Linked DNA regions of Caenorhabditis elegans. The protein of the gene in region 1 purifies or fractionates together with the protein of each later gene. This does not show direct contact. Each region holds a gene or a part of one and is shown on either strand. Other genes may lie near its edges.

Region 1 (16,980 bases):
CAAGTTGAAAGTAATGGCAATTTTCTCTCAAAATTGCACGTTTGATGCCCTTTCATTGAAACGTTATAACGAGAAGAATACATTATAATTTCCTTTATAAAATCTTTAAGTTCTTGCTCTTGACAATCTAAACTTTGAAACTGGATTCTCAGAATCTATTAACTTTCTGTCCTTCAAATAATCAATCAAACATATTTTTTCTTCTCGGAACTCTTATGCAATATGTATCATAACGACTTCCAAACCCCCGGTACAATTTCTCTGGGTCTCTCATTCTTTTCCAATCCCTCGACTCTACACTTCTCTTCTTCTCTTATTTTGTCTCATCTCTCCTGTCTTCTCTGTATTGATTCCTTGCCTTTCTAGCGTTCCGGCTCAAAATCGAAAAATTTTTAATATATTTCTAATCATATACATATTCTTAATTTAAAAAATGGTTTTGGAGCTCGAGCAACTACCAAATGACGTCACTGAACATGTTGCAAAAAATTTAAATCCGCGTGATCTGTAAGTTACTTTAATATTCAGCTCTCTACAGAGTTGCCTACAAATTGTACTATTTTTTATTGTGTTAATTTTTTTAAGGATTTAGTTTACAACACTTGCATCTTACTATCGTAATAAATTAAATTAAATTAAATTAAAATTTATTTTTTCAGAATTGAGCTCTCATTTTGCTCAGAAGCCTGGTTTCATCTCATATCATCATTCAAAACTCGAATCAAAGAGCTTTATATTAATTGCAAAGAACTCGGACGTACTAGTGGTATGAAACTTTTGTTTCCAACTTTAATCAAATTTTTTATTCAGAAAACAATAATCTTGCCAAGGCTTTAATTGGTGTCAAACCCTTTCAAAGAAGCTTTGTTCACATTTTTGTATATCAGAGAACTCTAGAAGAACTCGATGAATTTTCAGGGGATCCGAAGACTTGTTCGAGAGTCTTTGGGGAACGAGAGCTTAAATGGTAAGATTTTCAATTTATTTTCAAAAATTGTGTAGAAACGATTCAAAATTATGTCTATGGTGCTAAATTGATCAAATGGCATAGTAAAATTAATTAAATAAAAAAATTTCTGAACTCGTCCAAAAATTTTTTTTACAGTTTTTTGATTAATTTTAAATAATTTTTACTAGAACATTGTATGGACAGTAAAGCTGGAAAAATATATTTTTTAAACTAGTTTCTCAAAAATTTTGCTTGAAAAAAGCTTGTATATAAAGTCCCTACTGATGAAACTCAGCTTGATTACAAAATGCCAATTTTAACTATAATTAACTGCGGATAATCCATATCAGTATACTCTCTATTTTTAAATTTTGAAATTTACAGTCAAATAGATAAATCCACAATAAAAGTGTTCACAATGGATCCCATCGACACTTTCTACTCAGTAATGGAGCATCTGCTTAACCTGTTCACAGGATCAATTCATCATGTAAACTTTGGTCAATGTACACCAAATATCACTGGGATAATATTGAAGTTATTGAAAATGGAGGGAATTTCTTCATGCAACACATTATCTATCCCATCCGGAGGGGCTATTACTTCAGATCTTTTGGAATATCTCCTACAGAATCCAAATTTGTTCTGTTTAAACATAAATTGTGCAGTTCGAGGATCATTTCAGTTTGTCAAGGTAAATTCAAAATCACTTTGAAATCAAACTATATATAATTTAACTTACTATTAGACTTTCAGACAAATTGAGAAAATATTGTTGAATTGAATAAACTTGAAGTTTCAAAAATTGCAAAATTCCAACTAACCAAAATATTATATGGGAATTTTTCATCCTTTAAACGCCTCACATCCGAACTATTTGACACTTTTTGAGTTTTATAGGTTTTATAAACATTTATTTTAAATTGAAGTTTTGACAAACCCCGTAAATAACTATACAACCATTTCGAAGCTGCAAAGAAAACAAAAAAATCGGAATGAACATTTTTTCAGGAAGTCAACATCACACATCTGAGTCTGACATATCCCGAATGGGTTACCAATCGGAATATTTTGAACTTCCACTGTGAAACTATAAATCTGGAGGATCCAAACATAAATGGCATAGGGCTGAACTCATTTATCAAAACTTGGATGAAAACTGACAAAAAGAAGCTCAAAAGGCTTTCAATTAGTTTTTGCAAAGGATGGAATTGGGAAGATGGAAATAATATTTTCGATGGAATTGAATATGAACTGTTTGATAAGAATTTGAACTCCGGAACACAATTTTATGAGGATGAGGAGTACGTTTTTATTTTTTCATTTTTTTTTAATCTGAAGAAGTGTCGTTTAAATAGATATGCCTGAGATTCTCATCAGAGTTGAATAATGATTTTTAGTTTTAGTTTGTATTGGTTTCAAATGTTCAAAACAATTACTGAATTTTTATTTTATCATATGAAAATATAGTAGTGATTACGGCCGTTATATAGTCACCCAATTATCTAAAAAAAAAATAGGAGAATTGATTATTTCAAAACTAGAATCACTTTTATTATATCTATTTTCAATATATTTTTATTCAGAAAGAAAATAGATTGCCTAAATGGTAGAAATATTAAACGACCTGATGGAACTTTGGCAACTATCAAATGTGATGATCTGCACTTCTATTTTGTGGTTTGGAATTATTAATAGTTCATGAAGAGTTTTGATTTTTGTCTGCTAACTTCACAGTTTCTTGTAAATTTTGTTTTATGTCTCATTCAATTTGTTGTTTTAAATTACAATGTAATTGTTATAAGTTAATAAAATATTTTACATTTTTTTGAGTTTAAAATAAATTGCAACTTTTGATAAACTTTTATCATAGTTTTCTATTTGTTCTGTGTTGGCCTATTAAGACGAAGAGTTGTTTACGATAATTCAACACACATTTTTGTGATAAACCCTCCGGGTTCTGCAACAAACGTTTTTCTGTGTCTTCAATCTTTTTTCCACTTATTTGGTGTTTAAAAAATGAATGATCTGAACAACGGAACACCTCTTAGAATTGTCGAACTTGTGTCTGAGGTAGGCTAGGTTATAAATAGTTGTGTAAATTTTGTGAAATTATTCAATTTTTATTCAAAAAAAAAGAGTTGGAAATGTGTTCTCTTATAGAAAAGCCATGCCTACAAGGTAGGCTTAACATGTCCGGTTGAAGTTCATTAAATAAAATATAGCTTATTTCAGAATGATCATCCACCAGAAAGAGCAAATGATGAGTATGTGCAATTTGCTCAGATTTCTGTAGTCTCTGGAATTCAAGAAGAGCTCATCGAATTGGTAAAGAAAAAGTTATTGGAATCTATTGAACTTCAGCAATTCATTGTTGGTAGAGATATTGAATTTCAGGAAAAGTTAGTGATTGTGCCCATATAAAATACTTTATAACTATTTTCAGGTATATTGCATCACTGACAGATGGTTTGAGTCGATATAACAATCATAATGAATTGGAAGAAATTCGAAATGAGAAGCTAAGTTCAGAGGAAAGGCATTTTGAGTTGGAATCAGCAAGAAACAAATTAAACGGTCTAAGAATTCAAAACTCGAATTTTGGAAGAAGAGAGCAGAAAGTTTGCAGTTTTCTGAGTTCTGGGTTCGAGCAAGTTCGAATTTTAAGTTCAACTGCTGCTCATGATGAAATTCGCTACAAAGTGAATAATGCATCATGGATTTGTTCAATTAACAATTCTCTCGCTTTACAAAAGATTAAATTAATTTGTGAAAAATTTATCGAATTGAAAAAGAAAGTGGAAATAACGTTTTGGTCATCGGAGATTGTAACACTTCTAGAAAAACTTGATCAACAACAGAAGAATGTTGCATTTGGAATGATTATTGAAATTGTTAGTTTTTTTCTCACATTATAAAATAATTTTGATGGGGGAATTGTTAAAATCCAGTCCTTTAACCAAATATCATATTAAAACTATTGAAACAAATGTTTTCTTTTGAAATTTATTGGCAGTCAAAAATGGCAAGTACCAAGTTTTTGCCACTTTCGCCAGTTTTGGAACTCGACCAAAAATGGGTATTTTTCTTTGGTTATTTTATAGTTAACTTATTATTATCTGGACAAATTCATGCTATTCTACTTTTAAATATTACAATATTTTGCCAAAATAAACGAAGTACAAAATATGCGCTACTCGTGCTAGAGCTCGACTAGAACTAGAACCAACTTTTTTGTTCTATACTTTTATCTAGCTAGATATCTAATTGTTTGATATTTTTTCCCAGTTGAAATTGAAAACGCACTTTGAATCATTTATGAATCTTTTTATTTTCATTCCACCTCTACAATCATTTTTATTGCAGGCAACTTGGGAATATGAAAACTCAAACAATCGAAATTTACTAAAACTGATAAACGCTTTGCTTGATAACGATGAAACGAAGAAGGAAGTACTTGTGAATTGCGAAAATTTGTTTTCAGTCGAAACGCCACAAATTGAAAAATGCTTGGCAAATTTGAATATTCTTGTTGCCTTGCTTTTGAATATAAGTCTTGTGAGTCTGGTTCTGTAATGATTATTTTGAAAATACAATTGTAGGAAAATCGGATCTACAAAGAGAAGCTTGAGCAAAGTATTTGTCAATTAATTGCTCGAATTTTTGGGAATAGAAAGTTTAGATCAAGCCACATGATGTCGATTATTGAAGTGCTCGAAACTGTTGAACGAAAATTTGGTCGTTTTTCTGGAAAGTTTGATAACATGCTCTCACTTCTTGAATCGAGATCTCATATGCTTGAGAGGTAAGTACTTCAAAACGGACATATTTAATCTTAGTGATATATCTATTATCCTATTTGAATAGTATTTCTCTTGCTTTTTGAAATAAATACCTCATACCCAACCTGCAAATGAAATGAAGGAAAATCTTGAATTTAATTTTCAGATCAGAGCAACACCGGGTGATAAATTTGATAAGATCCCGTTCTTCACATTCTCCAATTCCTCCAGAAATATTGGCATCTGCATACTCATCTGGTGCAAGTATTCGGAATGTTACCGTAATTGAACACTCACAATCAGCACCAAACTATTTTCCGCATAGAACGAGAGATGAAATTAAACGAGAAGTTCAAATGGAATATGAAAGAAGATGGAGAATAGAAGAGGAAGAAAGATTAGAAGAAATACGAAGAAAAAAGGAAGAAGAAAGAAAAAAGAAAGAAGAAGAGGATGAAAAGAGGAGGAAAGCGGAGGAATCAGAAAGAGTTCGAAAGTTGAAGGAAGAAGAAAAAAGAAAAAGGGTTTTGGAAGAGGAGATGGAAATGAAAAGAAAAAATGAAGAGGCAAAAATTAAATTAGAAGCTGAAATGAGGGAGAAAGCGGAACAAGCTGAAATTAAAAGGCGTGAGGAAAAATCGAGAGCATTAAAAAAATTGCAAAAAGAAGAAACAAACAAAATGGAGCAGATGAACAATTGTACATTTCTCCAAAATGTTCCTCTCTTCAGACATCTACATCCATCAGGATCATATTCTGAACGAATGCTCGATGGAAAGGTTATTGGATTGTATTATTCCGGTTATTGGTGTCAACCATCTCGTGACTTTACACCAATTCTCGCACAATTCTATAGTCAAGTAGATAAGAATTTCGAGATATTATTTATTTCAAGCGACAGGAGTGAACAGGAGATGAATTATTATTTGCAAAGTTCTCATGGCGATTGGTTCCATTTGCCATTCGACTCACCAATAAGCAAGCATTTACAGCAGTTCAACACTAAAAATGCGATTCCAACATTGATAATAATAAAGCCAAACGGAACAGTTATTACTGTTGATGGACGAGATCAAGTGTCTAGTTTTCTCAACAACCCGCAAGCATTGGTTAATCACTGGAAGTCTGTATAATTTCTTTTTTTTTTGTATGTATTTATGTTTTTGGTTAATGTTGTACTTGTTAGTATAAAAATCATTTCATGATATTCGCCGATGATATCAAGCTACTTGGTGACAATGTCAGCGCTATTCAAAAATCAATCAATGTCGTGACCGATTGGTGCGCAAAATGGAAATTGAACCTTGCTGAAAACAAAACCAATGTTATCCACTTTGGAAAGCGGAATCCAAAAAATGAATATTATGCAAACGGAATGAAAGTCACCAAAAAGGACTCAGTGAAAGACCTTGGAATCTTCGTCGACGACAAGCTGAACTTCCAGAAGCACATAAACATCATTTCGAACTTAGCCCTTCTCAAATGCCGGCAGTTACTTCGATCCTTCCGCTCAACAAATGCCAGCCTTTACTTCAAATTGTACAATATCTATGTGCAGCCAATATTAAACTACGGATGTGAAATCTACAACCCGATCTCTAAAAATATGATTAAACAACTGGAGTTCCCACTGAAGTTTTTCTCGAGAAAAGTCTTCCAACGCTGCAATCTATCATACTCATCATATGAAAACCGTCTAGCTCAGATGAACCAAAAGTCAGTTCAACACCTGCGGATTCTTCAAATATTGAGGACCTATCACAACATCCTGTCTGGTGAATACCACTTTCCGAATGCCGCATCAACTGTGAGGAAGGCTCGCTCGCCCAGATATCCGTACATGATGTGCCCTTGTGGATCAATCAACGAAAGCTTCCTACTAGTCAATCTTCACCTATGGAACCGTATGTCCAAGTTACTTCCGGGGACAATGAGCCGTCAAATGTTTGCATCACGATTAAATTCTATCCCGTTTAATTATTTTTCCCACACAACTTGATCCCCTTAACTACTTTTGGTTTACAGGATCATTCAAATTATTCAAGTCTGTTTCTCCCGGTGATTATTCTATACTTTCTGTTTTGTTACGACGATTTGAATAAATATATATATATATATATATTCAATGCTTCGAGAGAATAAATGGGAATCTGAACGAGAAACTAAGATTTCTTATATCACATTAGTATATCACAATATTTAAAACTACATTATTTCTTGAAAAAATTATTCACAGCGTTTTTGAGTTTGAAGTTTTTCGATTAATGGTTAATTTCATGATTGACCAGAACACATCGTTTTATCAGAATCCTCAAAATCCTCATCGAAGTCGGAATCCTCGGATGTATCGGAATCCGAATCATATGGATCAAATGTTTCCTCTTTCTGCATTTTTTCATAATTTTCGTCCAATTCATTCACAGAACTCCCCCAATTTGCTTCATTATTACTGATCGAAGACACAGATTCCTGGAAAAATTCCAGACTTGACATATATTCTAAACAAGTTTTGTCAAATACCTGAGGTTGGTCTTCCTTGAAATCTTCGAACATCGTTCCGGTGGATTCTGCCAACTCATCGGGCACCCAGATCACTTTCTTGCACTCGTCCGTTTCACAATTCTCCATAGTTTCAACAGTAACCTATTAAATGTTAGCTTTGTAGGAAATATAAAATAAAATGAATCACCTGATACACATTGTTCTTTGCATTTCCTTTCAGCACCCACGAGATGTCTTGTCCGTCGTCTTTGCCAATTCCTGTTGCATAACGCTTGAACTCAAACAAGCTAAAAATTACCACTTTTTGAAATATTGGAACTTCTGAATGCTTACCTAAGCCGTTTATGGATTTTCAAGATCCACAATGGGCGAGGACGATCATTTTTCTTATGGCTCACCATTGTTGAATAAAGTCGAGGATCGAGTGAAACGGGAAATTGAGAAAGACAAAATGAAAAATAAATTTTCGCGCATCTTGGAGAGGTCAAAAATTCTAATTTTCGTCCTGACTTGCTCGTTTTAATAATTTCTATAATTTGAAAACAATTAATTTTTTACTAATTCAATGTATTATTTTTCTTTAGTTTTGCCTTTTAAAGCCGAGAAAATAAAGTCAACGTTTTTGCGAATAAAAAACAAAAAAAAAACAGGAATTTGTTTCTCAATGGGTTTCACCACGATTAGCCTTCGTCTGTGCAAAAAAACTACGGTAGTTGGAAAAAGTTTTTCGACATTTTATTTTACTGGATCCAGCTGGAGTTTTCAACCACTTTTTACGGGATTTTTGATTTGTTTCTCGTTTTTAAAAACTATCGTTTGAACAGTTTATGAATCTGCTTTCTAATTTCTAATTTTGAGCTTTTTATTCAGATGGCTTCACGTGTTAACATCGTTCAAGTCCAAATTCTCGATAATCCAGCGATGTTTGTCGACAAGTTCAAAATGGAGATCACTTTTGAAGTTTTTGAGCACTTACCACATGGTATGTATATTATTTACACTGCATAAAAATTAAGAATAATCAGATCTCGAATGGGAATTGGTGTACGTTGGATCTGGAACCTCCCGAGACTTCGACCAAGTTCTCGATTCCGCGCTCGTTGGCCCGATTCCTGAAGGACGTCACAAGTTTGTCTTTGATGCAGAACACCCGGATATCTCAAAGATTCCAGTCGAGGATATTGTTGGTGTCAGTGTGCTTCTCCTTCGTTGCAAGTACAACGATCAGGAGTTCATCAATATGGGATGGTTTGTGGCAAATGAGTACACCGACGAAGAGCTCAAAGAGAATCCGCCTGCAAAGCCGCTCATCGAAAAGGTTCTGTTCTTTTCAGGAAAAAAACACTTTATTTCAAAAGTCATTCACACAAAATTATTTTTGATAAATCAAGCACCAGTTATTGTCTAATGACAGTCCATTCCTGATCGTCAGAACGGTTTTCGTCGAGTCCAATAAAGCCCTCCACCTTACTTCCAACGAAGACGATTGCTCCGGCAATTATAAAACTTGCATAAACAATTCCTCCGATAGCTTTGTCGAAAATGTATGTAGCGCCTCTGTAGTTGCTATTTTTGGTCGCTACACTAGCATGAGTTGAATTATTTTGCGCTGCAGTAGCTTTCATTTTCACAATCTGAAGGAAATAAATAAATATTATTAAACGAGCAATGAAACTAATGAAATAATTAAAAATAAAGAACGAAAAATAGTTGAGAGTGAGACAATGACAATGAGAGAACTGAATACGTTGTGCACGCTACCTGTCGAGCAGATGGACATCATCGATCGGGCTCACGCACACAGATGTACTGTATGGGATGACGTAATAAACCATCTGTTGTGGAAAGAGGGAAAAAGTGAAATGCTCTAAATTAATCTCAAAGTTCCTTCAGTTAAAAAATGTAGATAATTCAGTTTTGACCTTGAATTTTCAAAAATTTTCAGCTTTCCCGTAAAATCGAAACCGAAGATCTTCGCGTCACCACATTCCCAATTCGGTGGACTGATGAGGATCCAGTCGCCGAGCCGGTTGATGAAGAGGCAAACAAAGTATTCGATGAGGATGATCTTATGCCATTGCATGATGATGGGCAGGATGATGACGAGGAGGAAGAGGTGGGTAGAATCTAGCATTATCTGAATATAATAATTTACTGTTATTCAGGACGATGATGAGACGGGTCCCAATACTGAAGAAGTTGACTTGAACGAGAGCTTCAACGAACGAATGGCGAATGCACATGACGGAACGGAGCAAAAGAACGGAGAAGAAAGTATGGAACACGATGGAGCAAGTGGAGATGTTGAAATGGGTGGTAAGTGATACTTTCAATCATAAGTTAGATTGATTTTAATTATTTTTTGTTTTGTCTGTATCTCCCTATGATTGTAGATAATCAACTTTTTGTTCAGATAAACACTGATACGAAAGCTACCGAATCGATGGTCGATCCCCTTTCCGATACAACAAAACGCGATTTCAGATCTGGTTAATTTGTATTTAAATATTGCTTTCTTAACTTGCATTTTTATTCATCTCCGATACTCACTATCAGTTACTGTAAGATTTTTGAATTGCATCTAAAATTACTTCACTTTTTATTCAAAGTGTCATATATGTCAAATTGCCTTTAAAGGAGATTTTAGTTTTCTGAAATGAAGTTGCTTTCCGTTCGTTTTAATCTGTGGATATGTATCATTTTTGAGGAGTGTTTTCGGCTGGCTTTGTTTCCGCCCCTGGAAGTTGAAGGATAGATAATTCTAAAGAAGCTTAATTGACAAAATTTATGAAAATGAATATTCAAAAACACGACAGACAACAAAATAACCGGTCCGAGATAATCAATAAAACAAGTACTTGGGAAAATAATTGGGGAGATGGACTATAAACTACAATTAAAGTTTGATGAATCAATATGTTAGACATTAAAAATATATTATCGCCATGATGTGAAAGATGTCGGTTTATTGGCATTGGCAGATGCTCCTCCTCCAAACACAGAAGATGTCGGAGCTGGAGTTGTGTTAGCTCCACCACCGAAGATAGAAGTATTCGTCTGTGGAGTTGCACCTCCACCGAACAAAGATGAAGTCTTCTGGCCTGATGCAAATTGAGCAAATCCACCAGTGGCAGGGTTGTTGGTTGTGGAAGATGTTGCTCCTCCGAAGATTGAAGCATTTTTAGATAATCCTGCATTCGCCCCTCCTCCGAATGGTTTAGCACCAAATGCTGGTTGCGATCCGAATTTCGGAGCTCCTCCAAAAACTGACGACGTTCCTGTTGCAGGTGCAGATGCTTGTTGAGCTGACGATCCGGCAGTGTTGAAAGAAAACGACGGCTGAAATAGGAAATAAATGCTTACAATACAATGAGACTCTTGAAACGATACTTTTTGCTGTTGCTGTTGTTGTTGATTACCACCACCACCAAAAAGCCATGAACTGCTACTGGCTGATGTCCCAGTTGACGTCTTCGGTGCAAACGGATTATTTCCACCAGAAGTGTTGGATGTTCTCGCATTTCCAAGTCCACTCATAAAACCTCCAGAACCTCCACCATTTGCCATTGAATCGTCTTCCATTCCATCATCCACATTTGGAACTGTAGGCGCAGTCACTGAACCTCCGAAAACGGAGGATGGTTTAGCAGAGGCGCCTGCACCGAAAGATCCAAACCCTGCCGGCTTTGCTGATGCCGACGTTGCTCCAGTATTAAACGAAAAAGTCACAGAAGCAGTAGATGTTGCAGGGTTCGAAGTTTTAGCCGGTTGGCAACCAGCCTGTCCAAAACTTCCAAATGGAGAGCTTGCTGCTTTTGAGCCACCTCCAAAAATACTTGACGTGTTCGATGCAGGTGTAGGGGTGGCCGTTGTTGTGGTTCGAGCTCCAAAAATATTTGTTGAGTTGGAAGAGCTGGGAGTTTGAGTTTTAAGACCACCGCCAAAGATCGATGAGGTGGAGGAAGTCGACTTTGGGGTAGTTGTTGAGTTGAACGCTGAAAGTAATTTTTTTAAATTTCAGTTGATTAAAGTATGGAAACAATACATTTATAATGTTCATATAATTACATCGATTTAATCGAATATCATTCTTTGGTTGAAACTCATTTTTTTAACAACAAAAAAGGAACTTACAAAAACTTGGTGTTTTTTGTATATTACTTCCCGTTTCCTCTTCTTTCACTGGAGTCTGAACAGCTGGTTTTGGCTCCTCTTTCACTTTTGTTTCTAATGATTTAGGCTCTTCAGACTTCAAGTCAGGTGTAACTTCATTTTCAGATTTTTCATCTTTTACTTCTTCAGTTTTATTCAGTGTCTCCACTTTCGAGGATGCTTTTTCGATTTCTTGTGGACTGATGCTCAGGGAACTGTTAATCAAAGAAGGCACTCCAGTTGTTAATGTAGACTCTTCTTTGGAAACTAAAGGTGTTTGTGTTTTTGTTCCAAACAAACTACCCGAAGAGAAAATGGAAGATGATGCTGGCGTAGAAATGATTGGTTTTTGATCTTGTGTTTTATTTGCTTCTTCTTTTGGAACTGTTACTTTTGGTGTCGTCATTGTTGTGGTCGCAGTTGTTGTATTGAGCTTTATCAATGGCGAAGAGACAGCTGGAGCAGAAGCTATTGGCTTTGCTGGTGATTCAACTGTTACCACGACAGTTTTAACAATAGGAGGTTCATCGGCTTGAGTTGCTGCATCTGATTTAGTGGATGGTGTAGATGGAGATGCAGAGAATAGTGAAGAAGATGGCATAACTCGTCTTGGTGTCATACTCAACTTGAGAATTGCATTTGAAAGATTTGAAGTATCGAGCAAATCATTTTTCATTGCTGCCGAATTTTCTGACTTTTTATAAGACTCCACGATGACGTTTCTAGTCTTCACAATTCCTCGTTTTTGAATTTGATTCACAAGTGCTTGTCTTACTTTGATACTTTCTGCATCAGTGAGAGATTTTCCTTGAGGAGCGTCTCCATCTAGACTACTCATCTCCAGTGGTTGCGTGAAGTTCAGATTTTCCTTTCCCTTCTTGAAGTTTTGAAATTTGACGTCCCTTTGGAAACGGACAAATTCTAATTCAGTTCGCTGAATTTGCTCTCGGGTATCCATGATGATTTTTGAGACGTTGCGCATAACTTTAAGAGCCAACTCGGTTTCACTACCGGAGCGAAGTTGATTGAGATTTGAACTGAGACGAAGTGGTGACAATATTGCCTGTTTTCGAAGTGACTCCTGTAAAAATTATATTAAAATAAGTAAAAGTAAAGAAACGATGCAAACCTTCTCAGACAAGCTCATTCTCAGTTTTTTAATCAAATCGCTACATTCTTCATATTTTCCATTTAACAAATCGGCAGCAGTCTCCAGTTTGTTGAATCTCATCAGCTTCTCAGTTTCTGACATATTTCTGAGCTTCTCTAAAACTTGATTGCCATCTTCCACTCCGGCAACTAATTCCATTTTTTCGTCGATTTCAAAATCCATTTCCTTCACCGTGTGTTGTGTTCTGTCAGACATTCGCTCGATCGACAAAATTAGATTTTTCAGTTCGTCCATAACTTCTTTAGAATCTCCTAATGATGCCCTAACCACATCAGCACATTCCATAATTGTAGTTTTCACTTTTCCCACAGCAAATGATAATTTCATCGTAGCATCTTTAGCTCCAGCCATTGAATCATTGATTTTATCCATTCTTTCGATAAGAACCTGCTTTTTGGTTGCAATCAGTTCAGCCTTTTTATGTTCCAAAGTTTTGTCTGAAATTTTCGGAATTGCTTCTGATTTTGGTGTTGACGCAATTTTTGGTTGGGAACTTGGAGCTGCCGGAGTTGATGGCTTGGATTCTGTTAACTGTGATGTCTCAATGTTGCTTGCGATTGATTTAGGGTTAAAAAGTGATGATGAAGGTTTAGGTGTCTGAACAGATGATGGAGATCCAACAAGAGATGATTTTAGAGTTTCAGCTTCTGGTTTTTGCCCAAACACCGTAGACGGTTTTGTAACGGGTGTCTGATCAGAAGGTGGAGCAGATATGGGTTTCTGTGAATCAAATTGGAGCTTCTTTAAGTCATTGATCGCCAAATTTTGACTGGACCTGAAAAAGATAATATTATTATATTCATCAAATTTTATTACTACGTACATTTGACAAGGGATATGAGCTGCAAATGTGCTAATGATGTGATGAGCAGTGAGAATGCCGTCGTTTGTTAAACAAAGTACGAGAGGAGATGGGCGATGTCTCTGAGAGCCGTCAGGATCTGAAAAGAATGAATACATTTGTAGAAAAATAGTTTCGAAATTAATGAAACCGTAAAAAACATAACGTACTGAGTAAAACCTCATCTGTCATTGAACGATCAACCGCAACTCCAATTGGAACTGTATCTTTACCACTAGACGTAGTTGGCAAGTAAATACTTTCTCCTTCAACAGGAACCCATGTTTGCCAGTCATCTCGTTTTCCAACTGTTGATATTTCACTTGTTTTCGAATTTCCGACAATTACAACATTCCAGTCGACAAGAAGTTGAGTAGCTGGGAACAGTTGAGGAGGAAGAGGCCATTTGGAAGAGGAATACGAGAGCTCGTGAAATTGAATCCATTCGGTTGGTTTATCTTTTTTACACCGCATTAGGTAAGCATCTTGATCTGTTCCATTTTCAAGAGATACCAGCCATTCTGTTGTAGCCAACCAACATAAACCAGTAATTCTTCCATAGTTCGGCTTGTTCTCCGGTCCATGCTGACTACGAACAACCTCCAATTCGGGTTTCAACTGCACAATTTTTCCCAGCGAATCTCCAATCGTCAACTGTTTTCCTTTTGGACTCCAACTGATTGCCGTGGTGACAGCACCAAATTTTCCGATTCCAACAAGTTTTTGATTTGCAGGACTTTGAACATTAATCTTGGCGACTAAAATGCTACGATCTGTTGAAGAAGCAGCAAATGTATCTGGGAAAGCAGGATTCCACTCGAGACAACTTCCTTGATTAATTTGTTCAGTTCCAACTCTTGTAGTACACAACGGCTTGAAGGGTTCAATGCTTGAACTTGTACAAATTTTCTTAATATCGAAAACATCGACAGAAACGTCATTGTTTTTAGTATGAAGAACTCCGAGAACTGTTCCATCAGAATTAACTCCCATGTCGTTGATTAAAACGACCCCATGAAGACGAATTGTTTTTATTGGTAGATCCGTAACTTCAACGTTCATATTTTCTCGGGTGATTTTGTAACCAAGAAGACTTTTTGTATGGAAGCATGATAACTGAAAAATAATTTTGAAAACGATTGAACAAGTCATAATTTTACCTGATTAGAATTAACTGTTACAAAGGTAACTCCCAATTGAGATGACGTAGCAACTCGGTTTCGAATGTTTATCTCATTTTGACTGTACCCATCTGACTTTGATGAAAAAAGCCGAAACTTCCGGCAAGTGTGGAAATGAAAGTCGGTGACTTGAGAAACGTCTTCAGCAACATCTTCGTTCGACATCTCTGAAAACACGAAAAATAGATGTAAAAAAAATTGAGGAGAAAATGTTCAAAAGGATGTCTGGCATAAGAAAAAACGGGCATTCAAAAACCGATCAAGAGCTTTTTGAACAAATTCAGAGGATGTATGTTCTTTAATATAGATAAGGAGTTAAAAAATATAGTATTTTCTTTCAATTAATAAAAAACAAACGTTTATTTTGAAACACTTCGAAAATTCTTTAAATTCGCCAAAATACAACTGGAAACGCGTAAGCTTGCACTCAAAGTGCGCCAGCTGTCAAAAAGTGCGCCAGCACGCGTCCGTTTCGTGAGGTTAGCGAAATTGCGAAACATTTTATCGGATTCCTTGTTTTCTCCATCGATTTCTGTGCGTTATTGCCTTAAATTGACTGAAAATGGCTACACGAGGACCAACACCTGACAAAGCGAGAATGGGACTGCCTGATAGATGGCTGCACTGTCCAAAAACCGGAACGGTCTGTGCAAAATCTGAGATTTCGGTTGTTCATTGTTCTCATTTTCAGCTTATCAATAATTTGTTTTTCCCATTCAAAACACCACTGTGTAAAATGTATGACAATCAAATTGCCGAAAGACGGTATCAATTCCACCCGGCAGAAGTTTTTTCACATCCTCATCTTCACGGAAAAAAGATTGGGTTGTGGATCGACCTCACAAACACTGATCGTTATTATTTCCGCGAAGAAGTATGAAATTCAATTAAAAAAATAAATTTGTAACAAAACGATTATGTTCAGGTTACCGAACACGAATGTATCTATCATAAAATGAAAATGGCTGGACGTGGAGTGTCGCCGACTCAGGAGGACACGGACAACTTCATTAAACTCGTTCAAGAATTTCATAAGAAATATCCAGATCGTGTTGTCGGAGTGCATTGCACTCACGGATTCAATCGAACAGGATTTTTAATCGCTGCATACCTATTTCAAGTAGAGGTATTTACTGTTTAGTTCATCATGACAATCCAACTGTTTAATTTTCGAGAAGCTAAAAATTTATGTACTCATTTATTGGAATCAACGCATGATATTTTGTTGAGAAGTGTCTAATTAAATACGTTTCTTTTTGAATCAGAAAAAGCTCAGAGAATAAAAAGTTGATTATCTTTTTTAAACTGACAGGATATTTTTAAGGAATATGGTCTCGATGCTGCAATCGGAGAGTTTGCTGAAAATCGACAGAAGGGAATTTACAAGCAAGACTACATCGATGATTTATTTGCAAGATATGATCCCACAGAAGATGACAAAATTCTGGCTCCCGAGAAGCCAGACTGGGAACGAGAAATGTCTATTGGCATGAGTACACAAATTGACAACGGACGACCATCGACAAGCCAACAAATTCCCGCAACGAACGGTTTGTCTTCAATTTCAAGCCTTAACGTTTAAATAATTTTATTCAGGAAATAATAATCAAAATGGAAATCAATTGAGCGGAGGAGGAGATAATTCGAAATTGTTCATGGACGGATTAATTCGAGGAGTTAAAGTGTGTGAAGATGAAGGGAAGAAGAGCATGCTTCAAGCCAAGGTATATCATTTTCTCACAATTCTTTAGCTGTATAGTTTTTTCTTTAGATTAAAAATCTCTGCAAATACAACAAACAAGGATTTCCGGGTCTCCAACCCGTATCTTTGAGCCGTGGAAACATAAACTTACTCGAACAGGAATCATATATGGTATCATGGAAAGCTGATGGCATGAGGTTAGTGAATATTCTTTAAAATTTCATTTAAAGATTTTTTAAAATTTTAGGTACATCATTTATATCAACGATGGAGATGTCTATGCGTTTGATCGTGATAACGAGGTTTTTGAGATTGAAAATCTTGATTTCGTGACAAAAAATGGTGCACCATTGATGGAAACCCTTGTGGATACTGAAGTCATCATTGATAAGGTATGAAAACTCATAATTTATGAATGAATTATTTGTTTTCTCAGGTTGAAATCAATGGAGCCATGTGTGATCAGCCTCGAATGTTAATCTATGATATTATGCGATTCAATGTAAGTTGATTTCAATCGGAAAGAAAATGTATTATTCGTTTCCAGAGCGTTAATGTGATGAAAGAGCCATTTTATAAACGATTTGAAATCATCAAAACTGAAATTATCGACATGAGAACTGCTGCATTCAAAACTGGACGCCTGAAGCACGAGAACCAGATTATGTCTGTCAGAAGAAAAGATTTTTATGATCTTGAA
Region 2 (16,980 bases), on another chromosome or scaffold:
ATTTATATAGAAATTTAGAAACATGCTTGTACTTTCTAATGACAAAGTTAGTTCATTTAAAAGTTTAAAAGAAAATTTGCTCAAAAACATTTTTTTTTCAAATATTTGATATTTTTGATATGAATTCTGTGACTAATTGAGACGGACTCCATGTTTTTCATACACGTGGAGATAAGCCGATAGTATAGCGCTGAGACATTTAAATCCGATTTGACTTTCTCTTGTCCCAATTTTTAAATTTGTTTTATTTTATTTTTTGCATGACATCAGTTCTTTGAACTCACTATCAGTCTCTAAAATAATAGGTTTCAACCTATATTCCAGACGGATTGTTGTACTCGATCTCAAATACACTTGCGTGTCAAATACGCAGAAATGCAATGTCGACGGGCGTGGAAGGTAATTTATTTTTAGAGAATTTTTGGATACCTAATCCTTAAGACACATACATTTTTATGAAATTCTGATTCATAATCTTTTGAATCTTTTCAGAAATGTGTGTCGCGATTGTCGCTACAAAAAATGCATTGCCGTCGGAATGACAACTGATAGTAAGTGTGTCCTTCTGACTGCCCCAAATCCTTTAAGTACATACAAATAATTTCCAGATGTCCAATACAATCGCGACAGCCACAACAACAAGAATTCTTCTGGTTCCGGTGGTGGACGGGGACGAGGTAAAAATAAGAGAAACGTCATGATGATGCTGACTGACGAGGAGGAGGCAGCCGGAAGTAGTACTGTAAAACCGGGAGGTTCGATAAAGGGGGACGAATCTTTTTGTAGTGATGGCTCTTCATCGACGCGTGGCAATCCTCAGTTAGATCCGGATGCGGAGAGACGGGACGATGAGGAAATGGACAAAATTATTAGCGATTTGAAACATTTATTTGTAGAAGTTGGATGGCTTTGAGAAAATTAAACAAGATTTTTGATTTCAGTATTCACCTCCTGAAATGATAAATCAATGCTCAATTAATCAACTTCAAAGACTTACTCATTCTTTGGTTCTGTATAGACAGAATCAGCAATCAGCTAACCAAATAAAGGTGATACGTTCGAAATGTTTAAAATATATTGAAATTGTGGTATTATACGCTGAAAGTCTTACTTGAATTTAAGATTTCAATAATGATTAAACAACTTTTTTTTGGCAAAATCGGTGAAATGTAACAGGGTGGGCGGCAAATTTTTTTGTCGACAAACTTGGCACATCGGCGAATTGCCGGTTTGCCAATTTGACGGAAATTTCCAATTCCGGCAATGTGCCGGTTTGCCTATTTGCCGGAAATTTTTATTTTCGGCAAATTGCCGATTTACCGTTTGCCGAACATCAATTTGCCGGAAGTTTTTAGAGTGATTTTTGTATAAAACGGAAACATTTTAAACTGGGCGTTTTTGAAATTTTTTCCCGTTTTTAAGATATTTTTATAGAACTTGCTCACTTTTCAAAGTAGATGTAGGAACATTCCAATGATGCATACAATTTTGCCGATTAAAATTGAAATTCTGAAATTCCCAAAAAAAATGTGCAAAACCACAGTTTGCCGAAAACTTTCGGCAATTGCTGCTTTACCGGCAAATTCGGCAGATCGACAATTTGCCGGGTTGCCGATTTGACGACAATAGCTTGGCACAACAAAATTTCATGGAAATTACCAAATCTGGATACTCAAAGGCTGGAAAATGTTAAACCCGATCTTTGCTCAGAATGTTAAACGTTCATAGAAATTTTCTGAAATTTCAGAAGAACTTCAAGCCATTTTAAATATGAAAATAAGCTCACAAACATAGTTAATTTGTGATGAGCTCATTGTGCTCACAGAGGGATTATGCGCACATCGGGAAATAACTATTCCAATTTACAGAAATTCATTCTAATTTTCAGTTTTGTGATACAATAAATGCCTTCACCGATGGCAAAGCACATCTTCAACGAAAATCCGAAAAATTCTCAAAATGGGTAAAATGTGTAGACTTTTTCGATAAGTTGTCCGATGAACAAAAAGTGAGATATTATTCTTAAGGTACTAAATTAAACAATTTTTTCAGATTGATACTGTTAAAATGTCGTTTACTGTGTTTGATAGACTTGAACGCGCTCAAATGTCTGTGAAAATTTTTGGCGAGAAGAGTATTACTGAAAAAGTAGGTTTTGATTGACTTAAGTTTGACTTAAGCTTGACTTAAGTTAATAAGGTAAAATTTTTTTCCAGAAAACCACGTTATCTTCTTATTGTGCTGTTGACTGGAAAAATGTCAAAATCAATCCAGAAACTGCAATAAATACTGAACAAGCAAATAATTATGTTAAAGCGTGAGTTTTACAGCATTTTCCCTATTAGACTTTCACCGCCAACGCTCTTCAAAGTCTTATATTTCGGTTCTCTTCAGTTTTACCAAAACATGTTCTACTGTCGAAATCTAGAAAAATTTTTTGCACGTATTTTGTTAGTTGGCAATTTTTTGCTAAAACCCAATAGAAACTATATATCAACGGTCAAAGTACATCATGTGTAATTGGGAAAATACTGTATTCATTTCTTAATGAACAATTTTTAAAGTGAATTCCACGCTCATGTTGATTCAATTATTGATGAAGTATGCAAACCACTTTATGAACTTCAACTTTCTGACACTGAAACTGCATTCATTTTGGTACAAGTTCTTGTTTATCACGGAGGTTTGTTCCCTTATAGAACCAATGTTCAACCCTTTATGTAATTTGTCTTCAGGTGAAAAAGTGACTCCTGAATTAGTGAAAATGTTCGATCAACTTCGTGAGACTATTGCCACAGATCTTCATCTTTATTATACAAAAGAATCTCAAACAGGAACTGATACAAATCGAATACTCAAAATGATGAGCGTTGTAAACGCTATGAAAGTATGCTGACCTTAATAAACTTTTAGTCATATACTATAAAATTTTCAGAAAATTCACGCAGATCGTGTCAGGAAAAGTGATTTAATACAAATATTCAATATTTATAAAGTATCTGAAAAACGAACCGATTTTAATTGTAGCTAATTTTTCTTTTTTTTTGTATTTTTTGAATATATACTGTGTTTTTGTGTTTTCTTTTGGTGTGTTCTTTTTTTTCTTTTTTTTTTGCAATTTCCCAACAATTCATTTTTCTCATACCATAAAACGTTGTACTATTAATTTTTTTTGTTAATTCGAAGCTCAAAATTTGAGTTCAAGTTAAAAAAAAAACTTCATGTAGAAATTTTCAAGTGATCTTCAGAAAAGGCGTTTGTGGTCGGTTAGAAATATATTCATGGCAAATACTCATTGACTCCAAAATCATTGACTACCTGTTCTCATTGTCTACCCTTGCTCATTGACTACCCTTGCTCTTTGTCTATCTCTTTCTCATTGACTACCTGTGCTCATTGCCTTCCTGTTCTCATTGCCTACTTGTTGCTCGTTGACTACCTTTTCTCATTGCCTACTCTTTCTCATTGCCTATCTTTTGCTCATTGTCTACTCGTTTTCTACATCAGTCAAGAGGCACGTACAAGGACCGTATTTCAAGAATACATCAAAGGCACATATACTCAATTTGTTCATTTCTTCAAAGGGTATACATATTTACAATCTTTCAATCTGTACACAACGTTTCGGGCAACAATTAGTAGTAGCTGAGTCATGTTTTAATTTATATTAATTTTGATAGGACACGAAAAGGCTGCCGTAGTATCAGACGTGTCAGACAAGGATGCACTGGAGTTGATGGTGGCTTTCGATCTAAAAATGAAATAACCTTCAAAACTCTCTGAACTGAGTATTTTCAAACTGGCGTATCTCAAAAAATACACATCTGGAAAACAAATGACCAACTAACAAAATGATCAGAAATATAGTAAAGGGTCTTTTGAGACCCAATTAACATATAGTACTACGTATTTACTTTTTATGCAATGCAGCGCTTTCATAAAAATAATTGTTGACTGACTTTTTACAAACAATCGTTATTTTATATTAACTTTATTTGTCTCAAAATTAACAAACTTTCAAATTTTTAAGAATTGTTGGGAACACTTAATCGATGTAACCTCCCCATGCTAAGTACAGAAATTTTATGTTTAGCAGCGAGAGCAACTGCAGAAGAAGCCGGTTCAATTTGTGGAATAGGAATGGTTACTCTTGTAAAGATACGCAAGATTTCCCGGCGATAGGGTCGGATATGGTAAAGTGAAATAATAGATGATAAAAGTGGGATTGGAGCAGGAATTGCACATATCAGACATTCAAAAATTGGGTGGGTAATCAGCCGGATTGCTTGGATAAAAAAGCAGAATACTCCGCCAACAAATAAAACTGGAAGACAAGCTTGCAGCGTCAATGCTCTCAACAGTTGCTTGTGGATGGATTTTGTTTCAGAACGTAAATTCTCGGTGTTTTTCCCGAGACGGCAAAGAATTTTCCTTCGAAATACAAGGATTGCAGTGTAAATCGCAAAAACTGGAACTGTCATGTTTAGGATTGAAAATGTAGCAGCTGGAGATAATGCATCGGATATTCCCGTAACAGTTGAAATTTCAAATGTATAATCTGGGAACTTTGATTTCAACATTCCAAAAATCAAATAAGGATCCGCGGCGGTGAACATTAGCACAATGAACTGAGTGAATGATGGAATGTATATAAAAACACTGAACATGAATACTTTCCACGTAGATGGGGGAGCAGATGAGAGTATATAGTTACGATATGCAAATGATAAGAGTAGTGACCACATTGAATGTATGAATAAATGAAGAAGTGCACTCCAGGATGCGTAACATAAAAATGGATGTCCAAAGTGACAAAGCCCATAAAATATATGGGCCATGGCATAGTCGAGTGGTATGATTCTGAAAATTTATTCACTTGGCTTTAAGGGGTTTCTAGATTTTCTTGAAATTTTCAAAAAAAAAAATATTTAAACTAATTCAAAGTTTAAGTTTGCAAAGTTATCCCGGTTTAGGGCACAGACTTCGGATTTTCTCTTATCCGGACGTTCTGCCCGCTGTCAAAACCGGACGGTTTTCGGAAAAAACTAGTTCTCTCGATTTGCCACCCTTGTCGAGATTTATGTTTTTCTGCATGAAGTTGTAAAAAACTAGGTCTTACCTTGGTGCACAGAACATCATTAGAAATGAGGAAAACATATCCGTGAGTGCAAAGTTGATGATTAGAATTCGGTAGGTTTTGATTTGAGACGGAGATCGGAATATTGCTAAAAGCAAAAGAAGACCATTCAGGACTATTCCGAATGCTCCAAGGATGGCATAGTAAATCATCAGAACGATAACTTCAATCATCCTGAAAATGTTCAATGTTTAGTGTGAACCTTGTTAGAATGAAACAAAAGACGTAAACAAAGAAAAAAGGAAACGAAATGGATAAATGCAGTAGCGTGAGACGAAAAACAACGTGTTTGGCACATTGTACCCTTCATTCTTTAATTTGAACTTTGTTCCCAAAATTTTGCGAAACAAAATTTCAACTCACGTGGTCGCCCGTGGTCAAGCGTGTATCAGAAATGGTCATTCTTCTGACGATGTATCAGAAATGGTCATTCTTCTGACAATTGGCAACCGACTTGTCTCCGAGAGAACTGCAAATCACTCAGCAATCTGGACACATCAAATTGCTGAACAATTCCGGGAGACGTATTGTGTTTGGAGTGAGCACGGCGCTTAAAAAAGCAACAAGTACTCCGACAGGAGTTCTGGATCCAAATGAAGCGGCTCTTTTCACAGTGAAGTGTGATGGAAAGGATGTAAGTGGGGAAAGGCATGAGCGCAAGGGTGGTTGAGTTTTCGGCAATTAGAAGATTTGCCAAAAAAGGAGAATTGTAGTATAAAACTTTAACTTTCTATACATTTCGGAGCGTAGAAATGTATTCCGTTGAAAAATTTTAATTTTTCAAATTAAAACTGCCCAAAACTCAAAAAAGAAAATTGTCGAAATTGCCGAAAATTCAAAACCCGGCAATATGGGCCTACGTGGAAATATCTCCCACTTTTTATCGATCAAGAAGGAAGTTGATGTTTTAAATTTTAAATTTCAAAATTTATTTTAAAATCGTTGTGAAACGTATGACTATGCAAGCTTACCCGATTGATAAAAAGTTGGAAGCAATTACACGTAGCCGCAATGTTTCATTTATTAAAATTTTCAAAATTTTCAGCAAAACGACCGTATCACTATCATCTACACAAATCCTCCAGATGGAACCGACAAGCAGTATCGATCCGAATACTTTCTCCGTGAAGACGCTCTGATCGTCAGAAAGAATCTCTCGACACGCTTTGAGAAGATTACAGCTGTACTTGCAAAATTCGAAAAGGCTAATTAGTTTGTAAATGATATTTTTGCTTAAAAATAAAGTCTGTGTCTTGATTCCGAAACAAAAATGAAAAGAATGACAATGTTTGCAATTCTTTTGGAATTTTTTCGTCAGCGGATTGTGCAGCAGCACGTGGTGATCGTGAGAATGCTTGATCACTTTTAGCTGTGGTCAAGAATGTGTAAACTGGGAACATCGAACACATACTAGAATTTAGTCGACTATGAAATCAAGAGAATATATTTAGATTTTTTTCAAAGATTAAAAAAGGTTTAAAAAAACTTTTTTTTTTCAAGATTTTATGAATCACTTTTCAATCATACTCGGAAGTTAGTCATGTTTTTGTCCCGTTGCGTTTTTGAAAAACTGGAATCTGGAAAACTTAGATTATTGGAGGAAAAGTTACACAAGAGGGTATTTTTTCGAATAATCAAAATATGACAATATATAATAAAAGTTGAAATTTTTGGAAATTTTTGGAAATGTCAAAGTTTCGGTTAATTTGAACAAACATTATGTTTAGAAGTTAAAACATTTTTTTTTTAATTTCAAAAACAAACATGAAAAAAGGTTGAATTCCGGCATTAATGAATTCTCTAGTTTTTGGCATTTTTGCATTTTACCTTATATTAATTGGTTTTTGTTTATGTTATCTTTGATTTTTGATTTGAAAAACATAAATTGACAAGGTTTTATAATTTTTTCCGCAAAAAAAGATCAAATTAATAAATAAATTAACATAGTCAGAAAATGCAATAATTTTAAAACCCCTAGGTTATTCATTTGCACGAGAGTTCTAAATTGATTCAGTCTTTTTATTTATCGCAAAATTGAAAATAAAATTAGAAAAATGCTATACATTAGGGTGATACGGTTAGATTTGGTACAATGATTCTGTCATTTAGGGCAAAAAATCCATAGGTGCTACTCCACCTTCATATTCCCAAAATTCAATAATTATTCAACCTTTTCCAAATATCTCTACCTCGATCATGTAATAAGATAAATCGTAATGATTACGCAAATCCAAATACAAACATTAAAGGAGACGCACGCATATTCTGTCATTCATTAGATAATTTGGAGAGAGGCGAAAAGATATTTGAACAAATAATAAATGAATGTGTCAAAAGTTGAACGGGCACATTTTGATATTCAACGTTTTCCAAATCAGTGAATTATGAGCTTTATCAGTGCGACTAAATTCGTAATATTTTTTGCTGCTTCAATAAATGCACAAAAAGTTGAACAAGATCATTCGGTTCGTTTTTTTAAAATTTTATTGTGTTCACAGGAAATTTTCAGGTAGTAAATAGAGTTTCAAATATTGCGGAAAAATACAGTAATTGGGCTCTAGGAAAATCAGATTATCGAAATGGAAATTTGAATAATTTTCAAGTCACTCAAGTTCAAAGTCCTCCAAGAAACTACAATACAGGTGAGGGTTTCAGATAACTTTTGTAACTATTTTAAAACTCACTAGTTTGTAGTCAAATCTAGTAGCTTGCCTTTTTTTAACTTTTTAGAGATTGAATAGTGTTTTTAACTCAACACTTTTGCTTTTGAAGTTTAGTTATAAACTAGGCAAGACCTAGTTTAAGCTTTGCCCAAATTTAAATGTTGAACAAACTTCTCTCGTGTGGTTTTAAACTTGCCAAAATATTGCTCAACTCTTTCTTACCTGTTGCCTAAGCTTTGCCTAAGTTTGGCCACCTGTTGAACTAGCTAATATTTTTTTGACAAAACTTGGCCAAGAATCTAAATATTGGAAAATACCTAGCAGTTGTAGGAGATTATTTTTAAAAAATTTTCTGATTTATCACATCAGTTTCAAAAACTATACCTATTTTGAATTTCAGCTCCAGTAAAACGATTTTTTCATCAAGTCCGAATCCAGCCGCCTCTTATCATCAAACCTGTAACTTATTCGGAAACATCTTATCAACCAATTGACATCTACTCAACTACACAAACTCCAATCCTGACAACTCCACCATATCCTTCTCGGATTTCTCATTTTCCAACTGAAAATCGTCAAATCTTCCGATCTCCAGTACGACAACATTACCAGCCATCTCCAAATTTTCCAAGACTTTTGGAAACTGAAGTACCAGTTTCTCAGTCATCTCCGATGTTTACTTCAAATTCTTCATTACTCCCACCACATATGTCTCAAAACTTTGGCTCTTCAATATTAACACAACTTCTTAACCCAATTCTACAAGAACCTAATATTCCAACAGCGCCTCCAAATTTACAAATATCACCTCAAATGCACATTAATCCAAATTTCCCGACATTAGTTCCATTACCAATTCCTCAACCGGTAGTTCTTGAACCGACTAAAGAAGAAGTGATGAAAATTGCATCGAAGAAGAATCTATACGGAATGCCAAGATTTCCAATCGAACCTCACCGTGGATTTTTTCAGGTTTGATATATATTTATTAAAACTTCAAACATCTAAAACCGTTAGGCATCAATGAGCTGCATGGATGGCTGGTGTGGAAATGAATGCTGTGAACCGAGGAGACCATTTGCAGCACCTACCACTACGATCCAAGCAAGCGTGCTACCAGGTACAGTAGAAGGGGTAAAAAAATAATAAATTTTTTTTTTCAGGCTCACCAAGCCCACCGCATCCCCTGGTTTTAGTTGTACATCCCGCACCACAGGCACAATGCTCTCCGGCCTGCCAACCTCATTGTAGTCAGCAATGTGTTGCTAGACTTCAATATATGCATGAGTCACAGTTCTACAACCACATTTTGGAGCCAAGTTGCCGTCCAGATTGGTATGATTTTTTATGTAACTGAAAATTTCTTCCATATAGGCGCCAAAATGCGTGCCTTGCAGATCTTCTGCTAAAACACATATTTAAGAACTTTTTTCATCTCGTTATTTGACTTTCATTAAATTGATTGCTATCAGAAAGTTAGTACTTTAGTAAATTTAGTAAATTTTTAAGTAAATTTATGTCAAATTGAAGGAAAAAGGTCGGCAGGTCTCAGGCAGGTAAATAAAGGCATTTAGCTCAGCCAACCTCCTAAATTCGTACAATCCCATAAAATTTTTTTCGAATTTTCAAAACGTCTAAATATAAAATTCGAAAAAAATTTAATTGAATATTTTCATTTAATCAATAATTTATGTTCCAGTATGCCATCCTGCCACGTCGATTGCCTCATAATTCCTCCACAGCAAGTCCGATGCAATAGCTTCAATTGTCAGTGTTTGGCTGGCTACGTGCAATGTGCCGCATTTACTTGTTGCATGAGATACCCGGTGAGAATATCCGTTTGGGAAAATCCAAACAACATGTATTTTCCTTCCAGAATCTGGCTGCAAGAATGAAATCCAACGTGATGGCAAAGTCATCTGAAGAAGAGGTGAGATGGAGGAAAGAGTGTAGTGCCAAAATTGAATATTTTTAGGCAAACGTTAGCGAGGAGGGGAAACAAGATAATGAGATCAGCTATCGAAGAATGTATACGCCTAATAGAATGAGGGCTGGAAAGGGGAAATACGGTTGGGAATATCAAGGGGACATCATCTCGAATCAATTGTTTTCAGACATTGAGAATGTGACATCACCACCAGTTATTAGACCTTCTTATTGGACAAAACATCGAGTGAAGTCAACGAAAGAACCAAAAACTACAATATTCACAACAACTCCAGTGCCATGCCCCACGACCACATCTACGACAACAAGTGCAACTACACTAGTTCCAACCACATCTAGTTCTACAACTACTACAACAACTACTACACCAGTACCCGTTACATCTACAACAACTGAACCTACTACGACAACATATACAACTTCAACTAGTACTAGCACCACAACTACACTTCCACCGACAACATCCACCCCAAAAATTGTGGTTAACCTAACTCCTATCTATCCGGATATGTTAATGAAAGCAAACAAAGTTCCAATGATACCAGCCTACGGAATTTGGACAATTCCGCCCCATGTACCACCCTCTTCAAAAGAATTTGATAACCCATTGAGTGGAATAAAAACCTCGCCAACTGAAAAGCGGAATTCTATTGGTGATATTCGCGGGAGACATGTTATCCGGTCTGAAAACTTTTTGGATGTTCTCAGTGAGCTGGCGCAGGTTTGAAATTCACTTCATGTATCTATCCTACATACAATTTTTAGGTGAAGCTTAAAGAGGATATAACGGATGACTTTTCACATGCAGCAAATTTCATCGATTTTATGACGGACAGATTTAGCAAAATTTAGGAAAATTTTATAGCTGGATATTGAACTATTGGACTGAATTTATGTATTTGTACAAATAAAATATTTCTGAAAATCCGAGAGATTTTATCATGAACATTTTCACATTCTAATGTTCTAGAAAATGGAGTGCGGGATTTTTTTTCACCATTTTTTTGGTTTCTTCACTGATAAAATCAAAAGAATTGTTGTTGTTGTTGTTGTATCTGATCTTAGAAACTTTAAAAAAAAGTATTATTAATTATTTGTTTACAGTTTGGTCATTCAAAAAATGTCATTTTTCAGCTATATAAACATTTTTAAAGCCTTCAGAATTTTAAAAATATAAATCAACAGAGTTTAAACTGATAGAGGTGGAGTAGCGCCAGTGGGGAGAAAACCAAAACGACCGAATCTCATAATAAAACACTCCAAAGTTTTAGATTTTTCATAATTTTCGGCCAAGTTTTGGATGTTTGCCAAAATTTTGAAAAATATGAGCTTTTGATGAGATCCAAAGCACTTTCGCTTATTTCGACCCTTACAATGTTATTTTATAAATAATTAAAATAAAATTAAAATATAAAACATGTTGGAACATTTTTTTTTTGGTCGACTTCCAAAAATATGAGTGGCAAAAACTGGGCAATTGTCACTTTTTGACAGTAAATAAAAAAGTTTCCAAACATTTTTGAAAAGTTTTATTGTGATATTCGGTCATTTTGGCACCATAGGAGTAGTTTTTACACTTTCCCCACTGGCGCAACTTTTTATTGCATTTACTACACTCGCAAGGAGTTACTATAATTTTAACTAATCCTTCATTCAAAGATCTCAGTGGTCTAGAAAAGTGCTTTCTACAATAGTTATCATGAAAATTACATACGTGCCGGACGTTAATCAATCAATCATGTTTGCCTTATTACATCCATCACATAAATTACAAATTAGACACGCAACTTGTTTTTTTTTTCAGAACTCTTTGATCAGTCCTCGGGAAACACCTGCATCATTTAATCTTTTTTGATTTCCTTATTTCAATAGATCACGAATAAGTTGATTCCAGGAAATCACTTTGATGTAGGTGCACAATCTGATCCCGGTGTTTTATTTTTGTTAAGGTTCAAATGATCATCCTGTGTTATTTATTGGTGACAAGACTAGTCATGCAGGATTTTTAAAACGTGGGAAATTGTTATTCGGATGTTGTCTAACTAGGTAAGTTTTTTGAGAACAAAAAGTAAGTTACGCTGGAACAAAAAAAATATATTGAGTTAAGTCAGGAACATGTGTTAGGCTTTTTGGAAATTCAATTATGGGTGATGGGTGGCGATAAGAACAACGTTTTCTGGTACTCCATGCGTTCTGAAAACTGATGTTTCTTCAAGTTTTTTTTAAAGCTTTGTTTGGATATTTTAAAACCCGTTTTGTAGTTTCAGGTGGAATTTCAAATCACTTTGTAAATGTTATTAGTTAGGCGCGTATAAACTTTTTTTCATAATTTACACCTGTTACGTAACCAAACTGAATGGAACATTTTTCGGACAAGTTTTTGAAGTTACTAGAAAGTTATGCATATGAAAAGTATTCCTCCAGTCATCGTTCGAACGATTTGATGACGTAGAAAGCTAAAATTCAGCTGTTTAGAAGGTAGTATTTTTAATTGATTTAGGCTTGTTGATGTGATTATCCTTTTCGTGGGTGTTCAAAAAGTTTTTTCTCATTATTAAATATCGTATTTGTAACATTATTAAGTAAAATTTGAAAAGTTTCAAACAACGTTTAGAGTTCGACCTGTAAATATTATATAATATGTAATTTTGAAAATATTTATAAAATGAAATTAGAATTATAAAAATACAAAAATAAAGAGTTTTTAAATAGCTGTGGTGTAAGTCTATCTCGACAATCTATCTCAAATACTCAGCTACAGATTTTAAAAAAATCAAATATAAACAATCTCAAATGGTAAAAGATACCCATTTAGACCTTGAAAGCTTCTCCGTTACGTAACTCCAAATGTTTTTTATTCAAGAAAAACAATAAAAAATTTCAAATTACAGCTTCGCATCTGCAATTATCCCTTATTCTCGGGTTCAGGTACCTGACCATTTTCTACTTAAATACTTTTGTCTTCTATTCATATTGATTGATGCTACTGTTTATAATATTATTCATTATGAACAAAACTTCAATAATTTCCTTCGACTATCTTGAAGAGGTAAGTAGAAGCATAGTGTTTTTTTTTTCAATTTCCGGTGGCATGTATACTATTTTACATATTTTTCCTATTTCCGTAGTGCAACTGATGTAAAAAGCACAAAAAAGTAGCAAGTTTGATCATTTGGGTGTGGGAACAATGACCAACTCTCACTATCAGTGAATATGAGCAAGACTCAGTGTCCGATTTTGATCTGAAAGAGAAAATGTGACTTTTGGCTTTTTTCACATCGCTACACTTGCATTGTCTCTTTCTGTCAATATTTTTTTCGATTTTTTTTTGGTGTGTCAGTTAATTATAGAACCACAACTCATTACAGATGGAAGAACTACCAGATCCTGCAATAAGAACTTGTAACTATCAATTTAATACTGTAAGTACTCAAGTTGTTATGTACGTTCTACAAGTCGGATATGCCCTCCCTGTATCTATTCTGTACCTTTTCGTAATTCTGAAAATTCTTAGAGCTCACAAGTCAGAGCAGATGTTTTCAGATGCATATTTCAAAATTTATGTTCTCGATGGAGTTGTGGTGGGTTTTCATTTGGAAGGACCTTCTTGGACCTGAACTTTTACGTTTAGAGCTTGATAGTAGTTATCTTGGACTACGGTCTGACTCGTCCATTGATATATATTAATCCTTTATGCTTTTTATTCTGGAATTGGTTTCCGGAGCCAACATACATTTTGACGCCGTATTTGTTTGGATTCAACTATTTTCAATTCGCAAAAATCTTCTCCATATCGCTATTGTCGGCTAACAGATTCACTTGTGTTGCGTACCCAATATGGCATAAAGTGGTAAGACCTATGTAACTGAAAATAGCGTTAGTATGTATTAGTTTTATTTCGATTTTAGCTTTTCGTATTTTTTGGTTAGTCTTGTGCTTTACTTTAACAGCTTATTTATCGGATGACTTTGGCTTTATCAAAAAATTTCAACATGGAAAATATGAAAAAACGTATTTAGCTGTTGAAAAGGTTTTGATAAATTACAAAGAAAAATAATAATAAAAAAATGGTTTTGCTTTCTACGAATTTAATTCAAAAACATTGTTAATGAAATATTAGTTCGTAGAACTGTGGAGCGACTTTCCGATAATGATGCCGTTGACTTAATTTATTTAATTCCTCATTTGAAATACGGAATTGAAATCTTCATTTGTTATTAGTACGTAACACATTTCCATATTAAATTTAGCTTTAAAAAACAAGAACTCATTAGTGCCATTTTCTAAGAATACCTGTCTGTTTGTAATCACTAAAATCAAAAATTAAAGATTGGAATCAAACACATCTCTTTACAGGTTTTTGGTTTAACTCAAAAACGGTTTGGTAGATCAAAAAATGCATTGAAATTTTGAATTTACAGTTTTGGAAAAAGCACACCAATAACGTCATTATTGTTTCTCTGATATGCCCTGCACTTTTCACGTGGCAACTTGCAATCTCACCGACTCGATTTGATCCTTACGTTGGCGAGGGAATCTTGGGATATGTGAAAGTTGTACCTTTTGTAAGTCACGTCACTTATTTCCCAATAGAACGAAGATCCTTAAGGTGCGGACAACATTTTTCAAACTAATTGTCAGTCTTTCTGCATTTATTTTTATGTTGATAACAAATATCAAAACATATCAACTCACAAAAAAGTTCAAGAATAAATTGAAAAGTTTGGAGTTATCTCTGACATTGGCAACTGTCGTTATCAGCGCAGTTTTTGTAATTTATATTATTATTCAAGTAATTTTTTGAATTTTACATTACTACAGTTTATTTTAATTTTACAGGCGGTTTTGCTGATTTTTTCCACTTCGTTTCTCGTTGAAAATTTGTCCTTTGGTAGTACTTTAAAGAAAATAGAGTTCATCTGCAACGATTTTTACCTAATGAGGTATGTTTCATCAAAGATTTTAATTTGCAGAATTTTAAAAAGTCACATGACATAGTTGACGCCAAGCTCACAACAAACATCACTTTCAATTTCAGCTCTCCAATAGTTCTTATTATAATGAACAAACGACTACGAGGTTCTCTATTCAAGGTGGCTCCTGGAATGACACAAAACTCATCAGCGCCTAGAATGTCTACAACAAATGAAAATACTGTTAGGATTATTGTAAAATCACCACCAGCTAAAACCATTACAATGTGGTAATTGAAATTTGTTTTTTTTTTGTTTAGTAAATAGTTTTTTGTCGTATTTTCCTGTCAAAGAAAGTCTTCTTCTTATGTCCAGGCTTCTTATTGAAGCCAATATTACTGTACAAAAGATTGGTAAAAAAATGTGTTTGGGTAAAAAAAAAATTTTGTTCGGAAATTTTTCAGGCAAGTTTTCAAGCTCTGTAGGTATTTGGAAAAATGTTTTGGAAATTGAAACAATGTGGAAACTATTGAAAAATTAAGCAGATATTTAAATACTCATTGAAACATAAAAATAAAACTGGAAAATACCATTTACACACGTAAAAATATTTCGATTGTTCGAAATGTAGGAATCGATTCCAAAAAGGAAGAGTACAAGCCAAATACAAAAACTTAATTTTTTTGGAATTTACTTCAAACAAACTTTTTCGCCCAAAATTAAGATGGTTTGTGACCTTATTAACAACCCGATGTATTTTAAAGAAATATTTTTGTTGAGAAAAATTATTTTTCGAAAATATTTTTCAGAATATTTTCGAAAGCAGAACGTGCCTTTAAAGTACCAAAAAAATGCTCTGAAAAAAAATTTAAAGATCGAATTTTTTTTGCTCAAAGAAGACCTTCGCTGCTAAATTTCTCATATTACTAAAAAAATTATCTTTCAAGCGGAATAAGTTTTATTTGAAAAAAAATGTGAGTCAGTTTGTGAGCTGAAATACTTCCTTTCTATTATAAATAAATATAAACATTTTAATGAGTTGGTTGTAGTATGAAAGGCGCTCGGAGTACGTTGAATCTAAAAATATATTTCTCAAATTAAAAGTTTGAAAAAAGTACAAACCTCAAAACATATGGGTCTCGGTTATGGTGTGTGGTTTTGCAGAAATCTCGATAATTTTTTTACTGGAGTTTGAATGTCGAAGGGAGCAGTGTAGAATTGATTTTCTGATTTTCTTATCAAGAATCAGCAACACCACGGGTCCACTGAAAATAAAAAAAAATTAAACCATCAAAAGCGGATAATTTCACTCACCTTAGCATGTAAAAATCATTAACAAATTGTGTAGCACCCAATAAAAATGTGCCCATCCATGGATTTTGTACCATGGAATCCAGTGGAACAAATAGTTGCATCACTTGTACAACTAACATCAGTGCAAAACCAATTGAAACAAATATTGTAGCAATAGTCAGTGAAACCTCGACTCTTCTCATATGTCTTCCAAGTTTTGACAGTTTGCAAGAAGTCACAATACTAGAAAAAATAGTGAAAAACAGTGTTGAACCTCCAATTAAAATCCGTCCGTATGAAGTATGCGCCCACGAAAATCGATGTTCGTACATTATCAGTCCTTGCCCTTTGTATGGTTGAAAATTGGTTTTTGCTATTCCAACAGGCCAAACAAATAATAATGGAACAGCTAGAACGGCGAATATTACTTTCGAAAAGTTATTGCTCCACATCTAAAAATTCAGGTTACCCGTTCAGTGATAAATGTAATTTTCTACCGGTTTATGCGCCAATGGGTACATTATAGAAGTGTATCTGTTGATACTCATTGTTAATGTTGATAACATTTTCGATAGTTGTAGATACATGTATAATGTGAAATATGGTGTTAAGTAGTAAGAAGGATCTTTGAAGTTTGATAGGAAGTATTCACACGTAGGTCGTACATAAGTGGTTTGACGAATTAAAGAGATATCGAGAAGCAAAAATATAAGAGTCTGAAACTAAATTTTTTCGTTACTTTTTCCCAATTAATATGATTATCAAGTGGTATTATTATTTGAAAAAAATAATTTAAAAATACAGAAAACATAAAATTATGCTGCACCTGAAAGGTGACACATTTTTTTCCCAATTATCTTGTTTCCTTTCGGTTTTCCAGTGAGTATATTCCTATTTACCTTTTATTTCATACAAGGAACATAATTTTTAGTTCTTTTGCTAGAGAGACCCAAAAACTTTTTAGATTTTCCGGTATGACCAAAAAATTTTACAAAAAAATTTTTATGGGGCTCCAAGAAGAGCGAAA

What was found.
Region 2: the proteins of asfl-1 (region 1) and T09D3.3 fractionate together in Caenorhabditis elegans (co-fractionation; one large-scale study listed by BioGRID). This does not show direct contact.

The regions. Positions count from the first base shown.
Region 1 is NC_003279.8:9,650,171-9,667,150, forward strand, and holds asfl-1 (putative histone chaperone asf-1-like protein), read left to right. Parts: upstream 1-8,103; coding exon 8,104-8,215; intron 8,216-8,258; coding exon 8,259-8,551; intron 8,552-8,630; coding exon of another isoform or gene 8,631-8,858; intron 8,859-9,178; coding exon 9,179-9,349; intron 9,350-9,398; coding exon 9,399-9,549; intron 9,550-9,646; coding exon 9,647-9,657; 3' UTR 9,658-9,910; downstream 9,911-16,980. Other genes in the region: T05F1.13 (F-box domain-containing protein), read left to right, coding at 434-507, 660-766, 811-967, 1,334-1,643, 1,961-2,253, 2,536-2,644; T05F1.11 (protein-disulfide reductase), read left to right, coding at 2,969-3,022, 3,185-3,351, 3,396-3,843, 4,316-4,507, 4,552-4,754, 4,898-5,864; lab-1 (Long arms of the bivalent protein 1), read right to left, coding at 7,006-7,200, 7,252-7,374, 7,421-7,520, 7,567-7,634; C03D6.9 (Aa_trans domain-containing protein), read right to left, coding at 8,631-8,858; npp-14 (Nuclear pore complex protein 14), read right to left, coding at 10,171-10,572, 10,624-11,228, 11,368-12,466, 12,515-13,331, 13,380-13,497, 13,568-14,513, 14,558-14,743; cel-1 (mRNA guanylyltransferase), read left to right, coding at 15,141-15,221, 15,270-15,452, 15,504-15,704, 15,903-16,128, 16,175-16,302, 16,350-16,477, 16,528-16,672, 16,717-16,782 and 1 more. UniProt on the Caenorhabditis elegans protein: Histone chaperone that facilitates histone deposition and histone exchange and removal during nucleosome assembly and disassembly.
Region 2 is NC_003283.11:5,340,113-5,357,092, reverse strand, and holds T09D3.3 (EB domain-containing protein), read left to right. Parts: upstream 1-7,521; coding exon 7,522-7,602; intron 7,603-7,646; coding exon 7,647-7,779; intron 7,780-8,200; coding exon 8,201-8,772; intron 8,773-8,817; coding exon 8,818-8,920; intron 8,921-8,963; coding exon 8,964-9,135; intron 9,136-9,499; coding exon 9,500-9,626; intron 9,627-9,676; coding exon 9,677-9,730; intron 9,731-9,775; coding exon 9,776-9,869; intron 9,870-9,914; coding exon 9,915-10,468; intron 10,469-10,512; coding exon 10,513-10,599; downstream 10,600-16,980. Other genes in the region: nhr-216 (Nuclear Hormone Receptor family), read left to right, coding at 325-399, 493-551, 609-898, 942-1,049, 1,889-2,008, 2,053-2,148, 2,217-2,317, 2,565-2,683 and 2 more; srd-9 (G_PROTEIN_RECEP_F1_2 domain-containing protein), read right to left, coding at 4,026-4,860, 5,120-5,310; srg-25 (Serpentine receptor class gamma), read left to right, coding at 12,728-12,796, 13,116-13,328, 13,379-13,597, 14,169-14,312, 14,357-14,539, 14,587-14,690, 14,786-14,954; srg-27 (Serpentine receptor class gamma), read right to left, coding at 15,784-15,925, 15,975-16,405, 16,451-16,669.